Linked DNA regions of Pelodiscus sinensis. The protein of the gene in region 1 purifies or fractionates together with the protein of each later gene. This does not show direct contact. Links are inferred from orthologs where the notes say so. Each region holds a gene or a part of one and is shown on either strand. Other genes may lie near its edges. The genes, in order: ARHGEF6 and PAK2.

Region 1 (16,453 bases):
ACCCAGAAGTGCTCTGGGCAGCCAGACCATTGGAGCTGCTCTGCCCCCAGCTTCCCCGATTCAGCCGCTGCTAAAACTGACCAGCGGCTGAATCAGGGAAGCCAGCTGCTCTGCCCCCAGAGTGCTGCCCGGTTGGTCCCGGCAGCTGAAACTGACCAGCGGCTGACTCCAGGAAGCCTGGGGCAGAGCAGCTCTGCCTCGGGCTTCCTGGAGTCAGCTGCTGATCAGTATCAGCAGCAGCTGACTTGGGGACACCTGGGGCAGAGCAGTTGGGGTGCTGCCAGGTTGGTCTCGCTGCGCCAAGGGCAGCACTCCAGCTGCTCTGCTGCAGGCGTCCCCGATTCAGTGGCTGCTGAAACTGACCAGCAGCGGCTGAATCAGGGACTCCTGGGGCAGAGCTGGACTATCGGAAGGGGGAGCTATGAGGGGTCTGGGGTGGCATCCTCCCCCACCCCTGACTCCTTATAACCCCCCCTTCTGATAGTCCGGCAAATCTGATAATCCAGCACCCCCTGGGTCCTAAAGATGCCGGATTATCGGAAGTTTACTGTATAATGATAATAAAAACTCCGTTCACAGCCAGCCTCTCTCTGGTTATTTTAGGGCAGCTGGTGGAGTTAGTCATTAATCTATCTCTACAACTTAACAACTCCTGGGTTTCTATTTCTAACACTTATGCTTGGCCTAAATACAACACCACTACACAACACAAGATTATACAATTTACACAGTGTGGTTAATAGAACTCAGTTACACTCTATAGAATTACACAATGAAATTAACACGATTCAAATATTAACTAAACCAATAACTAATATATTTAAGCAATACTTACAAATCCAGCAATGATAATAGTGTAAAGACACACTAGAACTCGGCGCATGCTCAGAACTCGCGCACCCTTATCTTTGACTCGAAGGATGGGGAGGCAGCCTCAGGGTGATCAATCCTTCAGCCAGGAAAAAAGACACGTGCCCTCAATACACGGAACTTCTCTGAACCAAGGGGTCGAGGGTCTTTTATAACATAACCTGATATCCGGTACCTTATTAGGGTCTGTTCCCTGGCTGGGCCTGATAGGCTGGTAATGAGGTAATGTGCAATATTGCCCTATAGGATTTTTCATGATGCCCGCCTGATGGCTCCGTGGACAGTGCTGGGTGGGGGCATGGTCAGTGTGCATGGCAGTTACGTCTTATGTCCCTATGCCTACCTCCCTATCTTCAAGGACTGGTCAAGAGAGTCTATTTATCTCTTGCAGCTGTGCTCTATCTTTTCTTGCTCACCTCCCTGTTCTTAGATGCCTACAAGGTTAAATTCCATTCACAGAAAGCTGCATTGTGCACTTACAAGTTATGCTTTCTCAGAGTGTGTCAGCGGCCTACATTTTCTGTGAGGGGCCTTTGTGTGGCAGAATGGGCAATGCTCACGCAAGGCCGTGGTCAAAAGGACCTGGTCTGTGACAAACCCCCTTATACTTTTTTTAAAGATAAGGTACAACTTAAGCCCTACCCTTTATTCCTCCCGAAAGTTCTCTCCCATTTTCATGTGTCTTAAGACATTTTCCTGCCTGTTCCACCCCAAGCCTCACCTTACCCCTCAGGATTGGTCCCTGCAATCCCTGGATGTGAGGTTCCTTAGCCTTTTACCTGGCGCTCACTAAGCTGTTTAGGAAGTCCAATCAATTGTTTGTGGCCATAGCAGATAGGATGAAAGGGCTCCGTCACCTCCCAGAGGATCTCCTTTGGGCTACGTCTAGACAAGACTAGGGGGGTTTTCCGGGATACTCCATCATGTCCAGGGAACATGTTTGCTCTTCCGCTTTTTGTGTGTGGAAGAGCAGACATGCTCTTTCAGAAGCCCTGTTTTCCTCCTCCCATGAGGAAGAAGGGCTCTTCTGAAAGAGGGTTTTTTTCTGAAATTTGGCCTAGTGTAGATGGGCAATTTGAATACCTTTTTCCGATAAAGCCTCATAGTGTTGACATAACCTTGAATTACGTCCTGTAGTCTCATGTGCTATGACCTGGCAAAGGTCCCAGCCCTTCAGTTGCCCACCCTTTCAGCTCAGGCCTCGCCAACCGCCTTTTTTGCTAATGTCCCTATCCAAGACATTTGTCGAGCAGCCACGTGGTCGTCTGTCCACACGTTCATATCCCACTGTGCTATCCAACATGAGGCTAGAGAAGATGCTGCATTTGGAAGGACAGTGTTGCAGACTGCAGACCAGTGATTTCCTACCTCTCTGCCAGATAGCAACTTGGGAATCACCTAAATTTGAATGCACATGAGCAATCACGCGATGAAAAAAAGATGATTACGTACCTTCTGTAACTGGTGTTCTTCGAGATGTGTTGCTCATGTCCATTCCAAAACCCTCCCACCTTCCATCTGTCAGAGTAGCTTCCGGCAAGAAGGAATTGAGGGAAGGGGCTATATACCTTGCCATTCTTGTGTCACTATAGGGGTCTCCCCTGCTGACCTATGGGTTCCTGCTAGGGAAATGCTTTCCGACAGCTTTGCACATGATGCGTACACACCTAACTTGGAATGGACATGAGCAATACATCTCAAAGAACACCAGTTATGGAAGGTATGTAACCATCTTTTGTATAAAAAGAAAACCTGGGAATTGGAAAACAGTATGAATAAACAATAGTTGTACTACACCCCCTTCAGTTCAGCTTGTCAGCGGACCAGCAAATCAGCCCTATAGAGTCTTGAAAGTACTTGAAAGTAGGAATAAGAAATCCTCCGGAAACGGGCTTATTTTCCGGAGAATTGCGTCTAGACTGGCGCTTTTCTCCGGCTTATCCCCGAGTCAGAAAAAAGCGGCAGCCATGTAAATGCAAATGCCGCGGGGGATATTTAAATCCCCCGCGGATTTGCAATTCCAAAGTGTCTCATTAGCATCCCTTTTCCGGAAAGGGATGCCAATGTGGACACAGCCATTATGTTCAGGAATTGTGCTTTCAATACACAGGATTCTTCCAAAGAATCCATATAATGAATTTAGGTGAGCAGCCTGAGGCAGCCTGGTGAGACTTCTTTTGCCTGAAAGGGCTGATCACAGCAATCATCGAATGATAAAGATGGCACACTAGTTTGTAAATTTGTGCTTTAATCTTTCAAGTTGCCTTTATATGTCATGAATGAAAGGGGTCCAATTTATTTTTTCTGCATAGATTACAACTTTATAAAAAAATCCTGGGTCTGATTTATTTTTAAAATATGCAGTTGCATGCAAATAAGAATGGCTGCTTATTTAGGATAATCATGGTAACTGGATGCAAATTGGGCATACAAAATAAGCTTGGGAGAAGCTGGGGGAAGTCTGGATCTCTGGGAATGCTATGTAAAATCTAGTTTAGGAATACTAAGTTTGGAGAAACAGTTACAGTTAGATCTGTTTCCCTTTGAACAACATGGTTAAGTCAAAGTGAACATCTTTTCACTTGCATTGATAGATATTACAAACCAAGGCAAGGTATATTTTCACTCAAGAATGATTTCTTGATAGGAAAAATGGGAAGCATCAGTTTATCTTAAGATCCAAATATAGGTCTTTAGAGGAAGAAAAAAATGTCTTCTCAACACCAAAGTTTAAAAACTGATACATTTGTTTGTACTCCTTTAAACCTAGGTACTATAAAATTGTCCATGAAGCTAAAATACAAAACCCTGGGTCATGTGTGTGGAAGGCCTTATAATGGGTCACAAATTTGGAGCGTATAACACAGGGTTGTTAGATTTAAAATACATTACATGCTTTCCTGCTTACTGTAGTGTTGTTGCCTTGCAGATTGCTTACTAAATAGGGCTACTATTAGCTAGTAAATCCAAGCAATCTTTAAAATAGTCCCTAGGGGGAGTCATTGACTAATATAACCCTCAAACTCTTAGCTGGTGTGTCTTTTAAAAATTATCTAGTGCTAGAAAAATTAAACTTGAAAATGCAAACCATACGTAAACTATTGCATTGCCTGCCAACGACTGCTTGCAGCCTGAAATGGCTCAAAGTTGTGAATTGCTCCACTCCATGTTGAGTTTGTGAATCCAAACCTCGTGAGTGTAAAAATTGATATTTAACAATTCATTGCTCATCTCTTTAGAAAAGACATCTAATTTAACGTGCTAATCCCGCAATCCCAAACTGCCATATCTTTGTGCCTAAAGCCTCTGGCTGCCAGCTCGGACCTAACCCCTGGTGGAGACAGCGCTATGTCCAGGAGAAAGCTTCTGTGGATATTGTTACTGCCTCTCAAGGTGGATGGTTAACTGTGCTGATATGATCTCTCCTGTTGGCATAGTAATGCTTTTATTAAGCATTATAGCAGTGCAGCTGCACACTGTGCTACTATAACGTTGTATATGACAGGTCCTTTGATGCAGGTTGTCATTGCAAAACCACTAACAGTAGCTTAGAATGGGTGCTCAGACTTCACTGTACCATGACTCCCTTTGGACAACAAATTACTACACGTCCATAGGAGCAAATGAAACCTAAGCCTGAGACCTACCTCCCTGGACTATTATTTTGGGTGGGTGTGCTAATGCTCAATGGCTTTACCTCAGGCAGGGGGACTGTAACCAGCTTCAGTCCCAGTGGTAGGGATTGGGCTTCAACTTTTGGTCTCAGGTCCTGGCAAGTCTAACAGCAGTCTTGGTGATCCCAGACCCCTAACACACAGTTTGAAAGCAACTGGTTTAGAATAAACCCAGAATGTACTAAGAACTTGGTACCTATTTTAAAAGCATATTTCATAACCAATTCAGTAAATAAAATCCCTCTAAATGACCTGAAGTTGCTGCAGAATTTAGACTTAGAAGGTGTACGAGATGCCTAATGGTCCAAAGTCCTAAGGCGGTAGATTGATATTGGATGCTTGTGCAAAATTGTCCACAGATTGGAAGAATTACATTTAAATAACCAAGTTTTGTTTCAAAATGAAGCTGGATCCAGAAAAGGGTTACGTGCTTTCAGCTTGCATTGAAGCCGTCAGTCTATGCAGATGTACAAACCAACATTTTCAAAAGGGAGTGATTGTTGAATGGAGGGTGCACAATTTGCAACATGTTATGGGGGCTTGATTTTTAGAAGTGATAAGGACCCTCTGTTTTAAAGTCGGGCATTGTTTTTATATCCAAATGGTGCGAGGCACATGTGAAAATCTTGGCTGCTGCCTGCTAGTTCTGGGACTGTTTTCATCAGAAGACTTTTGTGAAATAAATCAGGAAATGGAATAATATTTAAAAACTGCCAAGATCTCAACAGTCAATAAAATGGGGTTTTACTCCTGTGGAGGATCAGTTTTCAAAAGACAAGTCTGAGCTCATATTAATGAAGTTCCATTGCATAGTTACTGAAATATCTGCCCACTCATACCATGAAAAAAATCTTCAGGGAATGTGGGAACCTGCCCTCTAATACCTGGGAAAGTGCATTATGGATGTTTGAGAACTAGAGATGACTCCTGGACTTTAGTATTTTTGCTTGTCACTCAATGTTATCAGAAGACCAAGATGCAGCAGAGATGACATCTGCCACAAAATATCCTTAATAATAAGTAGGTGGTGGATTCTTGGCCTCTTTTATGTGCAACAAGCAGTCCACTTCTTTCCATGCACCTCTTTCCTATGGCAAAAAGCATCCTTGTTGGAGCTTGGCTTACTATGCAGAATCTGGTGTCCAATCTCCCTCACCCTCTCCAATTTAGACTTTCATATTAAGTCTACTCATTGACTTCCTTTCCTCCAAGGGATACTCTGCATAATAAATGGAAGTGTTGCAACTTTTTTTCCCCAATGAATAATGAGAAGCAAAGAGGCAGCCTTGCTTAGCCAACTTTCCCTCAACTGTTCCAAAGGCTTGGTGCAGACAGCCTCAGCCCTCTGCTGAAGACAGTGTGATCTGTCAGGAACAGTACTGTAGTTTGCCACTGCAAGAGATTAACCTTTTTCCCACTAGAGAATAGGGCTATCTTATTTTGAACAATAGCCAAGTAACCTGGAAAAAATATGACAGAGAAGGGAAGAATATGACTCCAATAGAACAGCTGCTAGGGCTATTGAACTGTCTTGTAAATCATCCACCCTTAGCCATGCATGCCATCATTTCAATGCCACTGTGGAGCCATTTAACTATTAGTGTTCCAATCTAATAGGCTACCCTATTTTCAGAGCTAAACAGGAAAGAAGGGACAAGTTCCACAAGCAGAAATGCTCATGCAATTGTGCATTTTTGCATGTGGACCTTAGTGGTTCAATAAGGGTACACTCTCCCTGAAAACGGCACCTGTAGCAGTAGACTTCCCACTGTCAATTAGCAATTAAACATTGTTTTCACATAGAGCCTATTCCTGCTGAGTATTTCTCCCCTCCTGAGCTGTCATTTGCTGCTTTGAAGGATAACCATTTATAACTCCGCGTAAGACCTATCTTGTCTTTTGTCCTTGATGAACCATATTCCCTCAGCCATTGAGAAGCATGAGCTTGTTACTAGATAGGATGTGTGTTCTGGCTCTGGTGTTGCAAGTTCTGAAAGGAACAGAAGAAAGGACAGCTGCCCTATTCTAAATCACATACTTCAATGTCTTACACTAAGGGTTTTTTCGAAAAAACGTGGCAGTTTTTCAAAAAAACTTCCCCTGAATCTAGACCATTGCCGCGTTCTTTTGAAAGTAAATCGGAAGAACACGGCAATTTTTTTCAACCGCGGAAAACCTCGTTTTACGAGGAAGAATGTCTTTTTTCAAAAGTGCTCTTTCGAAAAAATGCTTTATGTAATGCAAACTGCTTTTTTGAAAGAGAGCATCCAGACTGCCTGGGTGCTCTCTTTCAAAAAAGCGGCTTGCTTTTTTGAAAGTACTGGTTGTAGTCTAAACGCTCTTTTTCAAAAGAGGCTTGCAATCTAGACATAGCCTAATAGACTGGGCTTTCTTTTCTCCCAAATCTGCCTCATGGAAGTTCTTTATGCACACTGCAATTAGATTTGCTTTTAACTTTCCAAAATAGAGTGGAATACTCTGTTGCTTTCAGTATGGTAGGTCCTGAATTACAGCTTGTTGAGAAAATTTTTTTTAACTTTCATTCCAGTGGAGAAGCCACCACCACTGCAATACACTTTGTAAAAACTCAGGGCACCATGGCCAGGCCGAATGGCTACACCGTGAACTGGTAATGTCTGCCCAACATAAGAAAATGCAGAAACTGTCTGTGTGTCGGGATGTCAACGAGAAAGTATGTGTCCTTGAGATCGAGGGCAGCACATCAGTCCCCTGGATCCAGGGAAGCGATAATGGAGGCCAGGGATACCATGTGGAACTATAGTTTTTATATGAATGCATTTAAGTTCCTGAGGCCAAGGAAAGGAGAGTAAACCCCCTTTAGACCTGGGGATGAGGAAGTATCGTGAGTAAAACCTCCTGCCCCGAACTCCTGAGGAACCTCCTCTATCACACCTATTGTGAGGAGTGACTGGACCTCTTGCATCAGAAGGTGTTCATGAGAAGGGTCCCTGAAGAGGGACGGGGAGGGGGCATGGTGGGGAGGAAGGGAACAGAAGTGGATAGAGTATCCCACTCTGCCATGCTCAGGACGCTCCGGTCCGAGGTGCTCTGCGACCATGCCTGGTAAAAGTGGGACAAACTGTTCCCAAAGGGAGGGACAGGATCTGGAACTGAGTCTGGTGCTCTGTCCTCAAGTGCACCCTAAAAATTGGAACTTGGGCATGGAGGGCTGTTGAGAGGTGCCCAGGTGTTGGTTGGTGGAGGATTGAGGAGATCCCCTCCTGTTATTGCACTAACTGTTATGGTGGGAGGACTGGGGGAAAAACCGGGCAGGTTGCAGGGGCTTAAAGTGTCTGCGCTGCAGGGCAGGTGTACGGGTGAGACAGGAGCCATCAAAGAGAAGGAGCCTGGTGCCGAGGGGGCCAGAAAAAACATAGAAAGGGCAACGTATGACACTGTAAGTAGCATCACTGGCACCACCGCAGGAGCTGTCTGCTCATGGAGGAGCCAGGGCTGGTGCCACATGGGCGATGCTGTTGTTGTCGTCAGCGATGCTGTCAGCAGATGGTGGTGCTGCTCCACCATGATGGGCTCTGGAGAGTCGACCAACACTGGACTTGACAGCCCTGCCCTGGGTGCTGGAGACAATGGTGCTGGGGGGCCCGACTTGGGCAGGCTTGGTGCTGCATGGGTGGCCACGGGGGCCTTACTAGAAAGGAGAGCATCCTCAGTCTTTTTCTTCTTCTTAGGCACCGGTGAATGGGAGTGGTGCTATGCCAAGAAGCTCACCTTACATGTGGGGGATCGGTGACAATAGTCCCGGTGCTCCTACTGCCAAAGTGTCCCACTCCGAGGCTGGCACAATACAGATGGAGGGAGCTGAATCTGCATCATGGGGCTGAAGTGCCAGCTCCATTAGCAGGAACTTAAGCCTCTGATTTCTCGTGTGTTTGGTCTGGGGCTTGAAACCCCTGCAGTAGCTACACTTATCCTGAAGATGGCCTTCTCCAAGATGCTGCAAACAGTCAGTGTGTGGGTTACCTGTAAGCATATGCTTCCTGCACTTAACACATTGTTTAAACCCTTGGGACAGCTACATGCCCCACAGACTTGGCAGATAGTGGAGAGGGAAACGCCCGCAGAGATACTAACTGTATGAGGGCTTGTCTAAACTGCATTCCACTCTTGAAAGAGGAATGCAAATGAAGCAGATCGAAAATTCAAATGAAGCATGGATTTACAAATCTCGCGCTTCATTTGCATAATTGCATCCGATCGCTTTTTCAAAAAAGGGATTTAAAAAAAAACCCTCCGCAGTCTTGATGGGGTTCTTTTGAAAGAAAAAGAAAAAAAAAAAACTTTTTTGAAAGAACCGGTACACCTCATTTTTTCAGGAGTACGGATTCTTTCAAAAAAGGGGTTGGTTTTTTTTTGAAGGAGCCCCGTCTAGACTACGGGTTTTTTTTGTTTTTTTTTTTTAAAACCCTTTTTCGAAAAAGCACTCGGACACAATTATGCAAATGAAGCACAAGATTTGTAAATCCGCGCTTCATTTGAATTTTTGATCTTTTGAGAGAAGAATGCAGTCTAGACAGAGCCTGAGTGAGAACAACTCTATCGACACAATGAAGAACTCTTAACTATGCACTAGGGAAGAACCACTTGCTAAGCAAGAAGTCCAAAGCTCCAGCAACCGTCACTGGTGGAAAGAAGGAACTGAAGTGGGAGTCAGGTCAGCAGGGGTATATGTATGATGCTGTGAGGCATCACTACCAGGGGTGCTACAGCCAATCCAACAGGTACCACTAGGGAAAACTCTTCTGACAATCATCCATATTGGAATGCACATGAGCAAGCACTCAAAGAAGAAATGTGCTTTCTTCTACATTGTTTTGTAAAACTTTTCATGTTCCTATCAATATTTTGATCAGTGTTCATTTATAATTTTTCTGTCCTTGGGTTAACTTTTCAAAAGTGATTCTTAATGGGAGGCATGTATGTTTAGGGTGGGAAATAGAAGAAATTTCACCATGATGCTAAACTGCCTGAAAAATTCGTGTAAAAATATTTCAGATTTTGAACATGGAAAAATCCAATGTATTCTATAAATGCTTTATGTAAGATTTGTGAAAGAAATTCACACAGTGAAACAAAATTATTCCAGAATGTCTTCATGATTTTTTGCAATTAAATTTTCAAGCTCTTGTTGACTAGTCTTGCTTTTGCACAAATTTGCAAACACTTAACATATATGAATAAAGTTATGCATATATTGCTATCAACTTCAGTGAGACTACAGATGAGGGGAATTACTTATATGCTTAAGACTTTGTGGGATAGGATAAAGACCTTATGATAGGATAAAGTACTCAGATACTGATGGGTGTGATACAAATTTCTAAGCAGAGAGGATATCCTTTTTTATTTACGAGCAACAGTAAATATTTCACTGAGAGCACAATAAAGGATCTCAAGCCATTTATATAGCCACAAGCTTGTTTCTTCCTTTAGAATGAGCATAGCTTCTAGTTTTTATAAAAATCACAAGTGTCAGAGGTTTTCAGTACAGTTGTTTCAAACTTTAGCCCTGCAGTCACTAGAAGAGGCAGGAAGATGCAATCACGGATGTGGGTTAGAGCTAGTAGCTGCAGAAAACTTCTGCACTGAAGGCAGAACTCTCAACGATGAATTCAGAAGAGCGGATCGTGACATGGCTTATTTCATTAGGAGTTTTAAATTCGCCCAAAAAGATGATAGGTGATCCAGAGCAGTTCCTGAAAGCTTCTCTGAAAGATGGAGTAGTACTTTGCAAATTGATAAATCGGCTTCTTCCAGGATATGTGGAAAAGGTAACTTCTTAAGTACATTTTGGTAGTCAGTAGGGCAGAAACATCTTGTGACACTGCTGCATGTTTCTAATACTCTGAGAAACTGGAGTATAATATCTTAGGGAATCATGACATACTCTGTTTTAGAGGAGGGAAGAAAGGAAAGATGCCATCTGTGTTTGAGAGAGACTTTAGTATTTTATCTTGTTTCAAAGATACTGTATTGTTAGCTGGATCTAAGTAAAATATAAATTTGGATTGTAGCTTTTTTAATGTTTATAATCTCTTAGATTTTGTCAGCAACATGAAACAAAAAAAGTATTGCTTGCATATACAATTGGAATTAGCTGAATTATGTATGCATGGCTTAAATCCTGACATATAGTGTATGCATGCTCTTGAATTTTGAACAGGAATATTTACTCAACCAAAAGTCAAATCTCCAAGTTTTTAGATAATGTATCTATGACTTGACAATATAATGCTTAAGTTTTAAAAACTATTCATTAAAGGAATATACTAATATCTTGCTAATCAGGAAATATAATAAGATGGAGAAGGGACTCAAGTGGGAATAAAAGTAAACCGTCATCAGTGCTAGTTTAAATTTGATCTGGCCAATACATTTGCAATATCTTGAAGCTGCTAAACTAAATTAGTACATTGTGTTACAGTTTTATTTGGTATGTAGGCAGACAGTTCAAATCAGCAATAAGCAACTGCAAACATAAAAGCGGAAGGAGTCTGATGAGAGATAAGGAAATGGCAACACAGAAGAACTGTCAGTAAAATGACAGAAAAAACAGGTTCCTTCTCTTATAAAACAGGAATCTTTTTTTTAAAAAAATCAGTTGAGCTAGCTGCATCTCTCTCTCCATTTATGTATGTACTGGTGGTTTTGGGCAATGTACTGATAAAGGTCAAACTTCTCATTATCACTTAGGGCACTGTCATATGCTGACATTCAAAACAACATGCCGACCATTTAGATTTATGCATCACTTCCTCCAGCGGCTCTTCCTGGTTTGACAGCTTGCATGCCACCCCCATGCCTCCCCCTAAAAAGCTTCCCTAATTCAGAATAGATGCACATGTCAAATATCTATGCAAGCCTGCTGAACAAAGACTATCCTGATGGTAATACAGTAAGCATGTCTGGGTTTTGTTTCTTTAGTATTGTCTGGAGCCCAAAAATGAAGCAGATTGCATCAGTAACATTCAGGAGTTCTTAAAAGGCTGTGTGACGCTTAAAGTGGAGGTAAGTTATTCCACTTATCACTATTACACTTTTAAAAATTATTATTCTGCTAATCTGTTTCCCGTGTGAATGTTCCTAAATATTAATAAGTAGCAGGAGATTAAAGTGATCATTATATTTTCAGGTATCTAAAAGGATGTTTACAAGGAGGAGGGAGAAAAATTCTTCTCCTTGACCTCGGAGAATAGGACAAGAAGCAATCGGCTTAAATTGTAGCAAGGGAGATTTAGGCTGGACATTAGGAAAAACTTCCTAACCGTCAGGATGGTTGAACATGGGAATAAATTGCCTGGGGGGGTGGTTGTGGAATCTCTATCACTGGAGATATTTAAGAGCAGGTTAGACAGACATCTATCAGGGATGATCTAGACAGTGCTTGGTCCTGCTGTGAGGGCAGGGGACTGGACTCAATGAGATCCCTTCCAGTTCTATGATTCTATGATGATATCTTGATTTAGTAAAATACACAAGAGTAGAGATTACTCAATATTCACGACAGGGATTCAGGGAGATTTTGTAAATATACTAGAGTGACGCGGAGTTGAGCAGCTTTTGAGATGAAGCTAAATGTGGGAAGAGGAACATACACTAAAAATAACATTAATTCTAGAGAGAACTGAGTAGTTTGATAGTGCTGGAGATTTGTTGGTTCTAAAGAAAAGTTCATGCAATCTTTAACCCTGCTTTAATTGACTTTATATTGTAGTAATGTCAAGACTACATTTAGCCAAGGTCTTACTTCACAAAGTATTGTTGTGTTAATTGTGATAGAATAAATGGTTCCAGAGAATCAAAGGAATTAACATGACCATGTTGCAGTGGTGCATGTTATGTACAGTTAAATAAGACTTGAGGGTTTGTGTACAGAGACATTAGCCTACTTCATCCCATGGCAAACATAGTCAAAAATCCATGCCAAAAGAGATACACAAAGGGGAAAAAATCAGAAGATATTCTGGAATTCAAATGGAGTGGTTAACAGAATAAATTTAACCAGAACCTATTGAAATCCCTTTTTCACAAAGAGCATATGTTAGTTCTGTTTTGTCAGATAATCCTTCATAGTGGGGAAGAAAGGGTTGGAACCTTTCATAAACTTTCACATACTTTATAACAGCTAAGTTCACAACTGGGGTAAGACTAAAAGACCCCAATTAATACCACAGGATCCTAAAATGCTTTACAAATATTGGGCCTGATTCTGAAAAATATATTTGTAGAGATGTAGCCTTTACTCATACAAAAAAGTCAATGATGTCAAAGGAATTACTTACATAAATAACACCTGCTTAACATGAGTAGAGGTTGCAGAATGGGCCTTTTATATCGCCCCAATGAGTGCAAGCTGATTCCTATGCCCAAGCCTAGCTCAGTGCAAGTGGAACCCTATATAACAGGTATCGAGATCAAGGCCTAAATGACTGTGCTGATTCTTAAAAATAGAAGTTCAGCTAGTTTTGCTGTAAACTTTCAGATTGGTTATGTGGTGACCCTTAGAACATAAGAACGGCCGTACTGGGTCAGACCAAAGGTTCGTCTAGCTCAGTGTCCTGTCTGCCGACAGTGGCCAATGCCAGGTGCCCCAGAGGGAGTGAACTGAACAGGTAATGATCAAGCGATCTCTCTCCTGCCATCCATCTCCACTCTCTGACCCTTGAGTTGATTTAAAACTTCCTTTTAAAAAAAGCGTCTTAATTCACACTGTTACACTCTCATAGTAGCACATTGTAGTATTTGAAAATCTGGCATTAACTTTGGCATTAACATCTATGCTACAGAGGAAGATTGAGGCTAATGCTGGCAATCTTCTGGGGTTTGAATTAGCGGGTCTAGTTAAGACAGCTAATTCAAAGTGAGAGGGACACTCAGGTCGATGCCAGTAACCTTACTTTCATGAGGAGTAAGGGAAGTCGAAGGCAGAGTATAGTCAGCGCCAAAAAATGACTTAAGCTGCTTCGACTTCAGCTACGCAATTAACATAGTCTTAATTCAACTTTGTCCCATAGTGTAGAAATACCCTGAGAGGACTAATGATGGATCTGAGCAAAAAATACTGTTTTCGAGGGAAACTAGAGGGCTGCACCCCCTGCTCACTACGTCTGCCAATTTCCCGGTCACTGGCCATTTTCATTAGGCCTTATCCCGGAGCACCATGGTTCACAGCCTACCCCCCTCCTTCCATCCCTACCTCCACCTCCATCCCTACACCCCTGCATCCATTCCTATGCCTATCATCCTCCCTAACTCCCCCCCACCCCACACTGTTCATCCCCCTCCTGCCATCCCTACCCCCACCTCCATTCCTATGTCCACCCCTCCCCCTTCACTCCACACTGCCTATCCCTCCGCCCCCCTCCTTCCTATATTCCTACACCTCCATCCTTCCCTAACCTTCCCTCTCCATACCCCCACACTGCCCATCCCCCTGCCTCCATTCCTATATCCATCCCCCTCACCCCCAACATCCCCCCTTACTGCACCGCCCAGCCCCACTACACCCTTATCCCCCTTCCTCCCTCCTTACACACACCCTGCCCCCTCCCATGAAGTTGTTGAGCTGCTTGTCCCTCCCTCCCAGGAGCACCACCAGGCTGGGCAGCACAGCTCTGGCCACCACAGCAGGGGCCACAGCCTGCCCCCGGCCCAGCCTGTTGAGGCAGCTTTGCTCTGTGGCGAGCCCAGGGCACAGAGCGGCCACTCCAGAGAGCTGGGGAAGCGGCCGGGGTGCAGCGTAACCACACAGTCCCCAAAGGGCTGGGAGCGCCGGTAGCATGGTGAGAGGCTGTTTCGGGGGGGGGGGGGGGGGGGGGAAGCATGTTCTGGGGTTGGAGTTGGGGCGTGGCAATGGAGAATGATGTGATGATGTCACTCTGCCATTCCGCAGGAAATTTAGAGAGAGAGAGAGAGAGAGAGACGTACAGATGGTTGGGAGTTTAACAAAAAAAAATTTTGGGGGGGGGGTCAGAAAATGCTGATTTGCAGAAACGTGTCAGTTTAGACAAAACTATCACCTGGAATGATTCTCAGGTTCAGGATGGGATTTCTGGTCAAAATGAGGCAGAACAAGAGGCCCACATCAGAATATCCAAGGGTACTCCCCTGGGATGTGGAAAAACTACTAAAAATCCGGCAAAGTAGGGACTTGAAGCAGGGTTGGTTACATCTCAGATAAGTGCCCTGATCACTGGACCAATGCTATTCTACATATTAATTAAAGCTCATAGCATTAATAAAAAACAATTATTTCAACAAATGATAATTTCTTGGTTTTCACATAATTATCAGAAATACCAGAAGCAGTCATAGGCTACATTTACACTACGATGTTTGCCGGAAGAGGCAATGCAAATCCTTATGTCTCAAAAAAGGAGATATAACAATCTTGTGCAAAAGGAGGTTTTTTCACAAAAAGGAAACGTCCACACTGCTTGTTTTTGCACAAAAACCCCTTGCACAAAAACAGATCGGAAGAGATTATGCAAATGAAGTGCAAGAAAATGCTAATTCGTGCTTCCTTTGCATTGCCTCTTCTGGTAAACATTGTAGTGTAGACGTAGCCATAAGAACATAAGAATGGCCATATTGGGTCAGACCAAAGGTCCATCCAGCCCAGTATCCTGTCTGCCGACAGTGGCCAATGCCAGGTGCCCCAGAGGGAATGAACGGAACAGGTAATGATCAAACGATCTCTCTCCTGCCATCCATCTCCACTCTCTGACAAACAGAGGTTATAGACACCGTTCCTTACCCATCCTGGCTAATAGCCATTAATGGACTTAAACTCCATGAATTTATCTAGTTCTCTTTTAAACCCTGTTATACTGCTAGCCTTCACAACCTCCTCAGGCAAGGAGTTCCACAAGTTGACTGTGCGCTGTATGAAGAAGAACTTCCTTTTATTTGTTTTAAACCTGCTGCCCATTAATTTCATTTGGTGGACCCTAGTTCTTATATTATGAGAACAAATAAATAACTTTTCTTTATTCACTTTCTCCACACCACTCATGATATTATATATCTCTATCATATCCCCCCTTAGTCTCCTCTTTTCCAAGCTGAAAAGTCCCAGTTTCTTTAATCTCTCCTTGTATGGGACCCGTTCCAAACAACTAATCTTTTTAGTTGCCCTTCTCTGAACCTTTTCTAATGCCAGTATATCTTTTCTGAGATGAGGAGACCACATCTGTATGCAATATTCAAGATGTGGGCACATCATGGATTTATATAAGGGCAATAAGATATTCTCTGTCTTATTCTCTATCCCTTTTTTAATAATTCCTTACATCCTGTTTGCTTTTTTGACTGCCGCTGCTCACTGCAAGGATGTCTTCAGAGAACTATCCACGATGACTCCAAGATCCCTTTCCTGATTAGCTATAGCTAAATTAGTCCCCGTCATATTGTATGTATAGTTGCGGTTATTTTTTCCAATGTGCATTACTTTACATTTATCCGCATTAAATTTCATTTTGCATTTTGTTGACCAGTCACTTAGTTTGGTGAGATCTTTTTGAAGTTCTGCTTTGGTCTTAACTACCCTGATCAGTTTAGTATTGTCTGCAACTTTGCCACCTCACTGTTTACCCCTTTCTCCATATCATTTATGAATAAGTTGAATAGGATTGGTCCTAGGACTGACCCTTGGGGAACACCACTAGTTACCCCTCTCCATTCTGAAAATATACCATTTATTCCTACCCTTTGTTTCCTGTCTTTTAACCAGTTCTCAATCCATGAAAGTATCTTCCCTCTTATCCCATGACAACTTAATTTATGTAAGAGCCTTTATTGAGGGCCTTGTCAAAGGCTTTCTGGAAATCTAAGTACACTATATCTACTGGATCCCCCTTGTCCACATGTTT
Region 2 (16,070 bases), on another chromosome or scaffold:
ATGTTCAGTGAGAAATGGGCATACCTGTCATTGGAGCAATGTGACATACAAACCTGTAAGTACCTATTTCAGACTGGAAAGATTGCTCAGGTTTGAGAATCCCCCTCACATCATCAGCTGTGAAGACTGATCAAAGAATTCATTTAGTTTCTCCGCAATTGCCTTACCATGCTTGAGTGCTCCTTTAGTATCTTGATTGTCCTGTGGCCCCACTGGTTGTTTAGCAGGGTCCCTGCTTCTAATGTATTTTTTTTTAATTTGCTCTTACTTTTTGAGTCTTTGGTTAGTTGTTCTTCAACTTCTATTTTGACCTTTCTAATTACATTTTTACACTTCACTTATCAGAGTTGATGCTCCTTTCTGTTTTCCTCACTAGGATTTAACTTACACATTTTAGAGGAAGCCCTTATGCCTCTCTCTGCTTCTTTTGTTTTGTTGTTTAGCCCCAGTGGGACTTTTTTTTTATTCTCTTGCGATATTTTTTTAATTTGAGGGATACATTTTAGTTGATCCTCTATCAGTGTCAGGTTCCATTTTAAAACTATTTAGGTTGTTTGTCCTCACCACTTCTATGGGAGACTGTTCCAGAACATCACTGCTTCTGAAGGTTAGAAACCTAACTTCCAGTTTAAACTTGTTCCTAGCCATTTTATCCACGTTTGGTCTTTTGCCAATGTCGTCCTTTTCTTCTCCCTTCCTGATGTTTACCCACCTGTTGTATTTATAGAGAGCAATTATATTACCTCTCAGCCTTTGTTTTGCTAAGATAAACAAGCAAGGATTTTTTAATCTCCTCCTGTAAGATAGGCTCTACGTTTGGTAATCATCTCTGCATTTGTTCACATTTCAATCCATCTTTCCTGAACATGGGGGAACAGAAAAGTACATTGTACACAGTATTCCCAGTGAGGTCTGACCAGTACTTTGTACAATGGCCTTAATACTTCCCAAAGTCTACTTGAAATTATGTTGCCTGATGCAATCCTAGGATTGCATTGCCTTTTTTTATGGCCACATCACATTGGTGGCTCATAATCAACCTCTAATCAACTCATGCACCCAGGTCTTTCTCTCCCTCCTATGTTTTAAATCTTAAATGAGACACAGTTTCTTGATTATTCTTTAATTATATCTGCCTGTAACTACTCCTCCCAGTGTCTAGCATATTTTGGTGGGGAGTGGGAAAAGTGGTGGAACTCATTTCATGCTCTCCTTCCGTTAAAGGATTTTTCTTGCATACCCCCTTACAAAAACGGACTGGTCTATAATTACTTGGGATGTCCTTATTCCCTTTTTTATACACGGGCTGCTCTTTTCTAGGTCTCTGGCATCTCTCTTGTGTTTTATGAGTTGGTAATCACTAATGACCCAGAGGTGTCTTCAACCAACTCTGTGTGGTCTAGAATGTATTTCATCAGGCCCTGCAGGCTTGAAGACCACTAACTTGTCTATTCTTGACTTATTTTTTTCCTATCTGAGCCTCAGATCCTACCCCATTTACATTGATAAACATTATATTTCGTTGTCTAGTAATTGCTAACTTTCTTTGTTGAAAATTGAAACAAAAAAGTAACTTGGCACTTCTGCCATTGCTGTATTTTCTATTATTGTCTTTCTTGTCTCATAAAGTAGAGGGTTTACTCTGTTCTTGGTCTGTCTTTTGCTTCTAACGCTTGTGTAAAATATCTTCTTGTTACCCTTTACATCTGTAGCTAGCTTAATCTCATTTTGTGCCTTGGCTTTTCTAATTTTGTTTCTACATGTGTTGCTTTTTAATATTCATCCTTCATGGTTTTACTTGATTTTCACTTTTGCTTCCTTTTTCCTCTTATGCGGCCCCTCCTGCTGCTGGCCCCCTCGCCTGTAGGAGAGAGCTATCCTTCAGAGTTCTCACTGGGGGCAGCCATGCCACCAAGGGAGTGGCCAGCAGGGCTGGGCCTCCATCATCTTCCCTACCAGCACACCAAGTAAATAGCCCTCCTGCCCCAAACTCTTCCCCCTCCTGGCCCTTGGCTGAAGCTCTGGGAGGCGGGGAGGGGGGAGAAAAGGGCCTCTAGCAGCTTGGGGGAGTTGAGGGGGTAGAGGGTGGGGAGAAAAGGGCCCCTGATGGCCATGGGGGTTGGGGAAGAGAAAAGGCCCATGCTGAATGGAATCGCCTTCCTTACCCCCATATCCTCACTCTTGCACCCCCACCCACGTGTAGACGCGGGCCGTTATTCCGGGCTAGTCAATTTCCAAAATGGCGACCGCCCGGGAACATGCTAATGAAGCATGGGGCATTTAAATCCTGCGCTTCATTTGCAATTTCGGTTGCCATTATTAGCCTCCCTAGTTCGAACTAGGGGGCTATTGTAGACATACCTATAATGAATTATAAGGAGCATAAAAGGACTTGAGGCCTTTTTTTTTATTTTTTTTATTTTAAACTTTGCAGGCTACTATTATGCGAGAGAGATTTCTTTAGCTATTCGTTCCATAAGTTTCTTCCTCCAGTCTTACAGTGTGCACAAGTTGCACGATGTCCCTAATGTCAAAGCTAATATAAGAACAAAGCTGTAGAGAAAAATAAAGGCACAATTCAGTGCCTCAGATACTGTTAACCTGATAAATGCCCTAGCATTTCAATAAGTCAGCTGTCAAGATGGGCAGATAGAAATGGAAATGTCTCTCCCCCAGCTTTGACTTTTGAATCCAATGCTGCATGAAAGGATAAATCCTTTAAATGAATGGAGAAAGCCTGAGCAACTAGAGAGATTAAGGTTGTTGAGGGCTGTTCCCTAACATTAAATAGATGATTCTGTGATGCTTTCTTAATTCCTATGTCTAAAGGAGAAACAAAAGCTACTGAGAATGGAATAATAGCTCAAGTTTGTATTTTTACTCAGGTTTAACATCCAACTCTCTCTTCACAGGTAAATAAGGAAGTGATACTGCTAGTGCCAGTGGGGCTCAAACAGCATGGTGCCTTGGTATGTGCGGGGACTCTTCTTACCACAGTCCTGTGTTCCTGTTTAGTTCTTGCAGCTGTATGCAAACATGGACCCTCTTCCTTCGTGCACTGCTCAGAGTAAAACTGAACAAGACATTGTAGCTGGAGTCAGTCTGAAACAGTAATGAATACCATGCAAACTGAGTCTGTTCTGTATAGGGTTCTATGAATGGAATGCCATTTGTTTATCACCTTTACAACAGTAATGCCTAGAGGACCCATCTGAGATCATGACTCTCTTGTGCCAGGCACTGTATAAACACCTAATAAGAGACCATCCCTGCACTCAAGAAGGTGCATTCTAAATAGACAAAGCAGACAAAAGTTTCAGAGAATGTAACTGAAAAAACTTCAAAAATAATGAATAGTATTGCACCACCTTAGAGACTAGCAACAAATGTAGATGAACAAAGAATGGGAGGGAGAACTAAGATGTACAGATGAGGTGATCTGCCCAAAGTCATTTGGCAGAGCTGGGAATAGAACTCAGGTCTCCTGACTCCTAATCTTGTATTCCCTAAGTGCAAGACCACTGTGCCTCTCATTACATATTATTCTTCCAGGATTTTAAACTAGCTGACTTGACAGACTGATTATTATAATCAGAGAAACAGGTTCCCTGGTCTCTGTACCTTTGAGTTATAAACTGAAACATAATCCAACTCTATTGTATTTTAATTTGTTTTGTGAGCTACATATTTACCTGGAACAGGAAAGGATTTCCAAGCATTGTAAAGATATAATGGTCCCTGTTTTATTAACAGTGACCTGTAGGAGGCAGCCAGATTTATGTGATTTTTAAAGAGGCCCTAAGAATTTGGAAGAAACTTCTAGATGTTTACTGGGTAAATTAGAAGCAGGACTAGTAACTTTGATGTTTCAGAGGAAATAACAGAGCCTCATCCGAACAGGAATTATTTTGAGGAAATTTAAGGCATGTGTTACGCAGGAAGTCAGACCGAATGACCACAGTGATCCCTTCTGGCCTTGGTATCTATGAAATGATGCTAAGCTGGAATAGAGGACTTGGAAGACTGGAGGTAATCATCAGCGCTGTTAAGAAATACAAGGAAACAGAGAGGAAATTGCTTCATTAATGGAAAAACTGAGGTGCCTCAATGGTTCTTACATTTGTCATCCTAAATGTATCTTGTTTCTGTTGTTTGTCAGTAGGGGGCATTATGAGTTTAAGATAACTCATAGGGCAGATTTTTACTTTGTTTCTGTATACGTAGAGGATATTAAATATAGGTGGTTTTGTTATTAAACTACAGATGCAATAAAAAGCAGAGGTCTTGGCTTTCAAATTCTGTTCATATATCCATGTGTGGCCTGTAGTTGTGCAGCCTAATCCTTGCTCTGTCAGCAGGATTGGCCTTTCCTCTTCCTCCACAGCTATATCTTCTGGAATTCTTGGGCATCTTTCCTCATCTCCGTCTGACACTCAATAAAGAACTTGTCTTGTAACTTCGGCTGCAGGTTGGAAAGTGATCTAACACTGGTCTCGTTTCCCTTGACGAAGTGCCGAAAGAGGTGGCTCATCTATTGCCTCAGTTCATGAGTCCTCTGCATCCGTTTGGGGGAAGGAAAATGTTAAAAAACCTGAAATAGACTTTGTTACTTATTTAACCATGTCTGAGCAGCTGTGCCATGGTGTTATCAGCTGTGAGCTTCTATTGTTTAACATGTCCCTGGGGTTTTTTTGTTTTATTTTCCAAATATGAGTTTGTTTTTTGTGTTGTCTCCTGGCCAGACATGTGCTTTATACTGAAGGCTAACCCTTTATACTGTGGGCCCCCTTTCTGTGGAAGATGGTTTTCCTTTGATATTCCTCCCCTTGCTCAAGATTATATTAATTTTGAAGACAGTGTGATAAAGTTTAATATGAACTGTTTAAAGTGATTACCCTATCTGATATCATTGCCTAGTGAAAGAAAACTGTGAATTTCCATGGGACACACGAGGAAAATACTGCTAGTGGCGATACTTAATGAATGAGTTCCTGAGAAATTTGCATAGGTGACTGTAAGAATAGAAAACAAAATCTACAACGGTAAACTGGAGTAAGAGAAATAATCTGAATATTAATTGCACAGAGGCAAATATGCTGTTGATCTTAATGAAAGAGTTTGCGATAAAAATTACGTCTGATTGTGCCTACTAGTGAGGATAGTGTCAGAGCACGGATTAGTTTGTTTGTACCTGGTCATTGTAGTGCAAATATAGAACAGGGTAGGATAAATTGCTGAGTATTTTAATGATCTACATTAATGTTTAATTATTTCAAGTTAATTTGAAAGAAATAATCTGTTCTAATCAGTTGTAATGACATCTATTACTGAATTTCTGGTAGAGGTAGACATTTGATTACAGCAATTTGGGACTGGAAAGGTTAATCTTCAGAAGCTTTACCTGAGCTTTATGGCTGAGAGTATGCAGTCAGGGGGAAGATGATCAGAGGAATGGATACCCTATTTAATGAGAGGAGACTGGAAAGGCTTAGCAAAAAGAAGACTAAGAGCCTGGTTGTGATCTCTGAATGCAGCAAGGCGAAAGAAAACCAGGGAGAGTTAGTACAAGTATAGAACAATATTGGTACAAGATTAAAGGGGTATAAACTGGTCTTGAACAAATTCAAGCTGGGAATGAGATGCTTTCTAACCATCAGCAGTATGAGGATCTGGGACAGCCTTCCAATAGGAAGAGTGTTTGGGTGTGAGTGGGGGCAAACAACATACTTAGTTTTGAGATCGATCCTGACAGATTTGTTGGCATTGTATGATGGGGGTATAGAGGTGATTGGTTGTACCTGAATCAATTGGTATTACAGATCTTTTATCAAAAATGATGTTGGCAGCCAGTTATACAGTAAACTAAGTTTATTAACTAAGAAAAAAAGACTGAGTTACTGAGCTGTGAGAGCAGGTAAATATAACAGGTAAATCACAGTTTGTAATTCCAAATGGTGGCAATGATGTAATGAACTGCGTTTCCCAAAAGTCCTTCTGGATCTTTGTCTTCACATTCAGTTATTGTGCCCTGTTAGAATCCAAATAGTCCAGAGATAGATGTTCTTTCTTCGAATCCACGTTTATATCTTCTTTCAGAAGACAAGCTGACAGTCTCTCTTAACTATCGGCTTTTCTTTGATTACAGATAGTAAGGAATGGACTTAGAGTCCTTACTTTGAATATCACACACAAGGATCACTTACTTAGAAGCATTTTCTGTTAAAGTCCTTAAACACTTCATTAGCATTTCCTAAAGTTCTTTGATGGGTAATTTAATTCCAGGGCTATAAACAAATGTAAATGTTTGCTATATTATAACAAGAATAGATAAACAAGAACAATAAAAGTAAGGACCCATTAGTTTTCATGAAGTTTAAAGATCTGCGTATGCTCTCATACATTCAGCAATTAGGGATATTAAATTTCAATTAATTGGCTAATTGAATAGTCGATGCAGTTTGCATCAACGATTCAATTAGTTGATAAGGGCACCTCCACCTTTGAAGTGTGGCAACAGCCACAGGATGAGCACAGGACCAGTGGGCGACTCAAGCAGACTCCTGCTGGTCCCGTGCTCCCCGTGGTGTTTCAAAGCGGCAGTGCTGCATGGAGCCTAGGGTCAGCGGTCCTCAGCTGACCCCGGGCTCCATGCGTCACAGCTGCTTTGAAATGCCACATGCAGCCCAGGGCCAGCTGGGAGTTCCCAGCTGGCCCAGGCTGCATGCGGTGTTTCAAAGCAGCAGCTCTGTGTGGAGCCCGGGGTCTGGCTCTGGGCTCTACACAGCACTGTTGCTTTGAAGCAACCCTTGCTCTTCCCCCTCCTCTCCACTTGCTACCTCCTTCTGATAGAAGCAGCCAGGGTGGGGGAAGTGACTAGTTGACTAGCATGTCGACTATCTGATAAGCATTTGCTTAGTCATTCACGTCCTTAAAATTAGTTTGATCTATCTTAATAGTAAGTCAATTGGCCTGAATGCACTCTTACATCTAACACTTGCTTTTGATCTGTACTAACAAAGGTGAACCAGCCCTTGGCCCTGATCTGACCTGGTTTGCTAGTGTCAGAGGGATCCCCCCCCCCCAATAAGTATTCTGTGGTTTTTCTTTTTAAATCTTCTAAAGCATTAGAAAAACCACTGGTGGAGATGGGTCACAGGACAGAATGGGCCAGTGCTCTGAGGTGGTACCAAGTAATCTCTTTCCCAGATGCTTGTCTGATTGGTTCTTGCTCACATGTCCAGGTTCCAATTGATCATGCTATGTGGGATTCTGATGGACTTTCCCCCCAGGTCAGATTGCCAGTGGCCTTGGTGATTTTTTTTTAAACATGTGTGTTCCTCTACAGCATGGATGCACATTGTTTGCCAGGGTCATTTGTGTGTCTCCCTTCCCTTGGGCCTTGTGCACCTCATCTCTTCTTTTCTATTTTTATGGCATATAGTTTAGTCTCGTGTCGGCTGTCATACCCAGGCCTGACTTTGCTTATTGAGTTTAGTGGGCAGGAAATCGGACTAGATGAAAGAAAAGTAAACCCACTGGCAAAAAAATCTTTAGTGATACAAAAAACAAGGAAAGAAGAAATGAGCTCGCAAATTGGTGTGGAGTTTAAAGATAATCTAGGCATGGTCAAACACCTAAATGAATATTTTGCCTCATCTTACAAAAAGAATAATTAGAATCTTGGGGACAGCGCAGGATGGCCACTAGGAACAAAGATATGAAAGCTGAAATTACCACATCTGAGATGAAAGTTAAACTTATTTTTATGGGACAAAACCAGGACGCGGTATGGGGATAATCTCCATCCAAGAATATTAAAAAAACTGGCACATGAAATTGCAAACCTCAAAACAATGATTTTTAATACATCCATAAACTCAGGGGTCATAGCCTATGACTACTGAATTGCAAATACAGTACTTTTAAATATACAATTATCTGACCTAAACAGGACTGGAGGATGATTGGATAGTGAAAATGTTAGGTAATATGGAGTACCAATAAAAAACATGGGAATAAATATGTATTACTAATTCTAATGAAAAAATAAACATCAAACAAAAGCACAACTGCACTCCTGTGTGGTGTGGGCGCATGCACTGATTGTGATTGGCTATTGTACATGCTGCGTTCTTATTCGTCAATTTGTCACGTCGGCGGGTGGCACGTTGGATAAAATGGTATGTTGGATAAGCGAAGGTCAGAAAATCGAGACTGCCCTGTAAGAGGTTAAAAAAGTGATGAGAGAAATTACAGGCCCTTTTGGTTTGGTTTGTATGCAAAGTTGTAAAACAAATGTTGAAAGAGAAAGTAAGGACGTAAAGATAAATAGCAATTAGAATAAAATACATAATCATTTTACGAAAGATAGATTATAATAACGTAAGAATGGCCAGACTGGGTCAGACCAAAGGTCCATCCAGCCCAGTATCCTGTCTGCCAACAGTGGCCAATGCCAGGTGTCCCGGGGGAGTGAACCCAACAGGTAATGATCAAGCGCTCTCTCTCCTGCCATCCATCTCCACCCTCTGACAGAGGCTAGGGACACCATTCCTTACTCATGCTATGGACTTAACCTCCATTAATTTATCTAGTTCTCTTTTAAACCCTGTTATAGCCCTAGCCTTCACAACCTCCTCAGGCGAGGAGTTCCACAGATTGACTATGCACTGTGTGAAGAAGAACGTCCTTTTATTAGTTTTAAACCTGCTGCCCATTAGTTTCATTTGGTGGCCCCTAGTTCTTATATTATGAGAACAAGTAAATAACTTTTCCTTATTCACTTTCTCCCCACCACTCATGATTTTATAGACCTCTATCGTATATCTTCTTTGAGAAGATAATGGATTCTCTTCAAAGGAAGTGGAGAGGATCTATTCTGACTGTATTTCAATAAGGTATTATATAGTTATACAATGGAAATTATTAAATTGGAGAGGACAGGGATTAATATGAGAATGAAAAGCTTGGTGAGGAACTAGTTAAAGAGGACACTGTAACAGGTCATGCTGAACAGTGAACTGTAAGGGTGGTGGGAGGTTACTAGTGCATTTCTTCAATGACTGGTCTTGAGACCAATCTTAGTTTCCATTATCATTACCGACCTTGGCACAAAAAGTGAGAGTACACTAACGAGTTTTGCACATGACAAAGGAGGGCGGTATTTCCAATATGGAGGAGGACCGGCATATTGTGCAAGAAGTATTGGATGACTTCAAAAGCCGGTGGTAAGAGAGTGTTCCGCAACTGGGGGTGGGGGGTCTACTTCACATCCTCCATTACGTCCTATGTGGGGGCAGAGTTTTTCTGGGCAGTGTCTGAAGATGTCCAGGGAGGAGCAGCGGGTACTGTCAGCACTGTCCAGGGGCCTTTGCTAGGTGTCCCCCCTCTGGATCCCTGCTTCTGAATGTATCCTTGCTCCTACCCCTGACTCTTCATGTGCTGCTGGGCTGGGTCTAGACTGGCCAGTTTTTCCGCAAAATCATCTGCTTTTCTGGAAAAACTTGCCAGCTGTCTACACTGGCCGCTTGAATTTCCGCACCAGCACTGCCGGTCCCTGTAGGAGTGTCAGTGTCCTTGCGGAAATGCCGTGTTGCTCCGGGCAAAAGTCTTTTTCCGAAAAACGTCTGCGCCCGAGGGCCAAATGGCGATCCTGGAGGGCGGGGCTACCCAGCGCCGCCGGCCTGCTCCCGCTGGGCCCTGTCTCCCATGGCAACCGGGAGGCAGCCCCTCCCTCCGCTCCGGGTGAGGAGGCGGGAACGGAGCCGGGGGCGGGGCCCCCCAGGGGTGAGGGGCCCAGGACTCCGCTTCCCAGCGGGCCCCGCGCGCGCCGGCACCTCCCCCTTTGCCCCGCCCCGCGCCCGCTGCATCACGGGAGCGGTAGTCTCCGCGCGAACATGCGCGGAGGGCGGCCCCGCCCCCTCCCCTCCTCCTCCCGGGCTGTGGCCACGCGCGGCGGTTCCGCTTCCCCCTCCGGCTGCCGCCGCCTCGGTGGGTCCCGCTGCCGCCATCGCAGGAGGCGCCGCGCGAGCCAGGGGCCGCGGCCGGGGTCCCCCCGCCGGTGAGTCCCGCGCTGAGGCGGCCGCCGATCGCTCCTCCCGCGCCGGGCGGCCCCCACCTGCCGGCGGGTCCCAGGCCGCGGCGCCTCCGCCCGCCCCGGGGCGCGGGGCCAGGTGCGGGCAGCCCCCCCCCCCCCCGGCTGCTCCGGGAGCCGCAGGCAGCGCGCGGGCGGGCGGGCGGCTCTTCCCTGGGGGGCGGGGGGGCTGCGCCCGGGCCGCGCGGAGGAAGGCGCACCTGCCCCGCGCGCCGCACTGCTGTCCGCGGGCAGGGCAAGCGGGCTCGGTGTGTGTCCTGCTCCTGTGCTCTCGGGCTCTCAGCCGCAGGGTGAGCGCCACGGGCTGGTGTGTCGCTGCATCGGGGCCTCCCTGGCGCCCTGACCTCTTGGGGTAATTGCACACAAAGAATTAATGGAGTTGTCAAGTTTTGCCCAAACTGACATTTTGTAACAGAAATATTGTTGGTGAATCTGTGGGTTTACTGGATTTCTTTTTCTCTACCATTCCCTGGTAGTGTAAGCAACCCAAATATCGCAGCATTCCATTAGTGTGTGTGTGTGTTGGAAAATTCCTTTGTGGATCAGTACCCCTTTGTGGTTCGTTTATGCTTTGTCTCAGTGTAGTTGTCACTGTCTGGTTTTGTTTGTTTGTTTGTTGAAGTCGCTTTCCTGTTTTCTGACATCTTTATTTTTCTACTTTTGTTCATTATGTGTTTTTTCTATCTGCTCCCCCAGCCCTCCTCACAAGAGACTCTGAAGTGTTTAAGGCCAGAAGGGACTATTAGATCATCTAGTCCGACCTCTTGCTCATTTCAGGCCATTACATTTCACCCAAATACCCCACTTGTGAGACCAGTTACTTTTGGTAAATAAAGCATTTAGTCCTTAGGGGACTAAACCATTGTGTTGCAGGCACAACACAGGAGAGATGGGTGCTGTGTAAGTTCTTGCAGTGGCAGGAAACTGACTAGGTGTGAGAAGTGCCTACATGATCCCAACAGGCCATGTGTATCCCATAATGAGGAAGAGGAAAATATCTTAGAGTCCCTGCAGATCTGATCTTGGGGGACCTCCTTACCTATATCTGATCGATTAGACCCTGAGCATGTGAGCAAGATATGCCAGCCACATGTCTAAGATGGAATTTGGATGTACATGTGAGAGGGGGTGTGTGTCTAACTGGGTCTCTAACTTATACCATTGACAGAACTACTTTTAGTCCAGTACTTACCCTCTCCTGTCCTTTTTTATGTTTTCACTCTTCCCAAATTCTTTTTTTGGTTGGAATTTCAGTGCTCAAGTATTGTCTGAGAGTTGGACTGAGCTTCCAGAGCCAGTATGTTCTTCTTTCAGATTAACAGATCGTTAATTGATGCCTCTGCTGTGGCCACAGTGAAGATAAATCATGGTTTTTGGAATAAGTATCCTAACTGTTACAGCAGCAGTGTTTTAAAGGGCTTATTTTAAAAAACCAAACCAAACCCAAATGGCATATTTGGATGTACCATTCAACCACACCAATGTCAAAGGGTTTTGCCAAGTAGTGGTGTGAATGAAAATGCTAATGCTGGAGTCTTGGGCTAGGACCTAAGCATCACTTTGTATACTGACATGTCTGATCAAAATGCACAGGTGGGGAGAAAAGGAGGAGGGTAGCAGAGGCATGGAAGTGGAAACAATTGAGTGAGATTATGGAGGTGTCAGGCTATTAAAAATTATTTGCCTTAGATCCCCTCTGTCCACTTAATAGCGCTGACATATGTGGTGGGCTGGGAAGTCCTATTTAAGTAATTTATAGTTAAGGATTTAAAGCACTGGTGGGCAGTATGCAAGGCGGCAGGTGGTCCTTCTGGGGTCTGTGTGTGGCCTGTGAGAGATTCTGTTTACCATTGCCCAGGCATGTCCATGTAGTTTTTTCCTACCAGTACTGCTAAAGTGATACGCACCTAAAGTAAGTGCATATGAGCTGAAATTGCACACAGCATTGATTGCGAGAGCCATGTGCTCTCTCTACATCCAATCAAAGTACTGTTACTGTCCAGTGGGCACTCCCAGCAAATTCTAAGGTAGGCAAGTGTAGTTAGCAAAACTACCCCATCCCAGGAGACTGTCTTGGATATGGCAATCATGTGGCCCACTCACTAGCCTAGGTTGCCCATCGCTGATTGAAAATAATCTAAAGCAGTTTTACCAGTGCCATTTTGTAAAACGACATATATGTTTTAAGCAGTAGTGGTTGAACAGGAAGATGATTTATAGTTTGTAGGATTGAAACTAACTTCGTCCAGTCAGATGATCGCTCTCCTTCCAAGCTATATTATAACTCCTCAAGGTATAAAATCAAAGAGCTACAAGTATTTGTGACTTGTACAAGGCAATATAAATGTAACTTTAATTAAGAATATTGTAGGCAGTTCAAGCAGGCTAAATCCAAATCCTCATAGAGACAATTGTAAAGCTTTCCATTGAAGAGATCGTTCCAAAACCTTAACTACAGTGATCGGTTTCACTGCTTTTTTTTTCTTTATGAAAACAGACACTAGTTGGAGCAGTAAGAAGGTTAAAAGAATACAAGCTTTCAGTATATTCCTTTGAATCTCTCGAGTTAACTAGGTAGTGGTTTCTTGAAAATATTGTAAGTGACTCACAAATAAAAGTCTGCAATTGTCCAGTGGTGTCTGGAAGATATTACCATTCCATAAATAAGAATTATGCATAAATTACAATTGAATGTCACTAGAGCATGCGTTAGTCGGACTAAGGATTCTTAAGATGCTTTTCTGTCTAGGGTTGGTGTTTTTTGTATCATTGTAGTGTACGATGAAAAGAAACTGTTTAATATTAGCATTATGCATTTTCATGAAAGTATGATGTGTTAAATATATTGGCATTAAAATGTTCAAATAGTGAACTGGCAACTTTTAGGACTTGGATCATGTTGTAAGTAGGATGAGCTAACTTTGTTCAATGGAAAGCCTTGAAGAAGTACAAGATTGAAATCTTCAAGCAAGATTTCATAGAAAGTCAATTATGGTAACTTAATTTGGTCTGCATTTTATGGTCTGCATTCAAGTTCGCTAGTCTAGAGTGTAGACTGGTACTGAGAATTCGGAGATGTTAGTTCTATCTCCAGCTGTGCATCCTTAGACAGACACTTCCTTTCTGTTTTCCCAACTGCAGTATGAGGGATCAGACCTTCAAAATTTCATACATGCTAGCCAGAGTTAGCTGTGAAGGTCAGTGATGCCCTCAGCAAAATCCAGCTATCATTCCCAGCTATTTGAAAGGGAGAAGTTGTTGTGTCTTTTTCCTGGAGTCTAATTGGGATGTCATATTTTGTATCCGCTTCTTGCAAGTAGTTATCAGATAAATGTGAAGCTCCTCCCACTCTCACTGTTGAGGAAGATGCTTCCTGTCTCTTCACCACCTCCAGAGCATCCTGGCTGTTGCATGTGGGTTTCTGCATCTATACCCTTCAATGCAGAGGCTCTGTGGGTGCAGGGGGAGGTGTAAGGTTTTCACCAATCCTTCCCCGTCAACATTCTGCTTGGTTCCTCTTCCACTATGACAAGCTGCAATGCTTGCGTTCTTAAACAGTAATAGATATGCTTAACAGTTCTACAGCTGCCCTCTGGCTTCTTAACTGCAGTAAATCTCATCAGTGTTGTAAATTTCACTCTACTGCTCCTTGGATATGCCATTGACCGTAGCAGTACTGGAGCTGGCTGGCTGCAGACTCAGGAAAACAATACATGTGAAGGAAGGGCAGAAGCTGGTTCCTCTGTGTGCGGGGGGGAGGGGTGAGAGTGGGAGCCTGCCCTTCTGCATGTGGGATGGAGGGGCAGGAGCAGGTCTCTTGCCAGCAGCCCCCAGTGGGAGTGGGTGCTTGGGGCTGCTGGCCCCCTTGTGAGGGATCCCACTTCATTGTTTAACCTGTTAAACTTAAAGTTAACTGATTAACTGGGTTTTACATCCCTAGTTTTAACTAACTTGTCTTGTTTGGAGAGAAACTTTGTGTAATTTTCAAACAAAATCCTCACTAGGTGCTTTACAGAACAACTAGAAAGACAGGTCTTTCCCCAAAAATGTAACTCACATCTGTGATGGCACAATAGGTTGAGGATAGCAAATAGAGAAGAAAAATAACATAGGTAACAGCTGAACACTTAGTTTAATCAGGAGCCTATCTAGCTGCTCAATTTTTAAAGAATGCCTGACTTACTCTTTGTGACCAACGTTGGACTCATGCATTTACTATGAATTTTGAGTGAAGGAGACGATAGTAGTTTGGCAATCCTCGGTTATTTTTCCTTGTCATAAACTTTCAGTGCTGTTTAGGGCTTGCTGGTCCTAGAATGGTAGTGCAGGCACTCCCCGAGTTACAAACATCCGAGGTACGAACATCTGCACATACAATCAAAAGCTCACCTGCAGCCTCTCGAGTAGCCAAGAGGCAAAGGTGGTGGCAAACAGAGGACGTGTTGGCCAGATGACGCTGGAGGAGCAGAGGGCGGTCATGCAGCCAGTGGCGAGAAGTAGTGCTTTGAAAAGGAAACCAGTGCTGCTCTCTTGCCTGCAGCTGTAAGGCTGCATCCTGCTCCTCTGGAGTCCTCCAGCCCCTGCTCACTGTGGGTAGCCTGTGGGGAGAGGGGGATGGCTGGAGGATGAGGCTGGCCGCAGGAGCCAGCTCAGAACCCGCAGGGGTGTGGGTAGCAGGGACATGCCCAGAAGTCCCCTTCAGAATCTCCATCTACCTTCTCATTCTCCCCTCATTAAATCTGCCTTTCCTCAAGGACCAGCATTTGAAGTTAAATAAAAACAATTTCTGCTGTTTTTCATCACAGATATATAGCATGTTATGGGTTAAATAGGCTTTTGTGGGCTAGCCTGGGATCATAGCTGCCATTAATAACATTGTTTCTGTGCTAAAATGCATTCTGAGTTGCTAAATGACTTACACATTTTTGGAACACAACTTGCTTGTAAGTTGGGGATTTCCTGTATAGGTAAAAGGCTTGAATGGGAGATGGACCTCCATCCCAGAAGATTTTTGATAGCTTCTGATTGACTGAGATACAAACACTTCCAACTCAGATTGGCCCAGGGTTACTTCTTCGCTTGTTATTGCATTATTTGTTCTGGGAAATTAGCTGTTACCTCTTGCCATTAAATAGCTGCTATATTTGAATCTTGCAACACAGTAGTTCCATCTCTGAGCTAATGGAGGTGGTAGTTATCTTTCCCTGCATTTACTGGTGTGTCCAACCTTCTTCTTCTGTAACTTTTTAACGTCTTAATTTAATACCGGTCCTGGGGTTGGGAATCATCTGGTGTATTGGTACCAGTCTACACTGGGCATTTAGTGGAGCTTAGCTGCTTTTAGTTGATTTTCTAAACAGTGAGTCCACGTGACCAAGCTTTTCATTAGTGATGCTAAATTCAACCTTGCATGGTTGGCTCTAAGGTAGTGCAGATGCAGTGATAGTAAGTCGATATTCTTGGCCTCCAGGAGGTGTCCCACAGTGCCCTGCTGTGACAGGTCTGGCCAGGACTTTCAACTCTGCTGCTGTCCAGGTGCCCAGGAAAAGCCCTGGAAATAGTTGAATTTCATGTCCTGTGTGGCCAGCAAGACGAGCAGACCTCAGAGTCAGCAGCAAACTTGACCACGAATGCCTAGGGTCACAAATGAGCACCAGCATAGAGCATGCAGGAGATCTCTGACCTCACTGCTGTGTGAGAAGAGGAAACTGTTTTCGCAGAGCTACGAACCGGCAAGAGAAATGCAGATATCTATGCCAAGATGGCAAAGGGCACAGAGGAGAAAGGATAAGCCAGGGATGCCCAGCAGTGAGATATGACAATAAAGGAGGTGAAGCAGTTAAATCAGAAGACAAAGGAGACAAATGGACAATATGGATCATCGCTGCAAACGTGCCGCTTTTATGAGCAAGTGCATGTGATCTTCAGGGGAACCTGACCAGCTTCCCTAGCCAGTCTGCAGATTCCTCCTAAGAGA

What was found.
Region 2: the proteins of ARHGEF6 (region 1) and PAK2 purify together in Homo sapiens (affinity purification with mass spectrometry; 3 studies listed by BioGRID and IntAct, counting the BioPlex papers as one, with this or other methods). This does not show direct contact. The link is inferred for Pelodiscus sinensis from reciprocal best matches to the Homo sapiens genes ARHGEF6 and PAK2.

Annotation. Positions count from the first base shown.
Region 1 is NC_134723.1:35,323,645-35,340,097, reverse strand, and holds the start of ARHGEF6 (rho guanine nucleotide exchange factor 6), read left to right. Parts: upstream 1-10,088; 5' UTR 10,089-10,189; coding exon 10,190-10,354; intron 10,355-11,507; coding exon 11,508-11,591; intron 11,592-16,453. UniProt on the Homo sapiens protein: Acts as a RAC1 guanine nucleotide exchange factor (GEF).
Region 2 is NC_134720.1:616,536-632,605, forward strand, and holds the start of PAK2 (serine/threonine-protein kinase PAK 2), read left to right. Parts: upstream 1-9,904; 5' UTR 9,905-10,060; intron 10,061-16,070. Other genes in the region: PIGX (GPI alpha-1,4-mannosyltransferase I, stabilizing subunit), read left to right, coding at 1-55, 2,913-3,071. UniProt on the Homo sapiens protein: Serine/threonine protein kinase that plays a role in a variety of different signaling pathways including cytoskeleton regulation, cell motility, cell cycle progression, apoptosis or proliferation.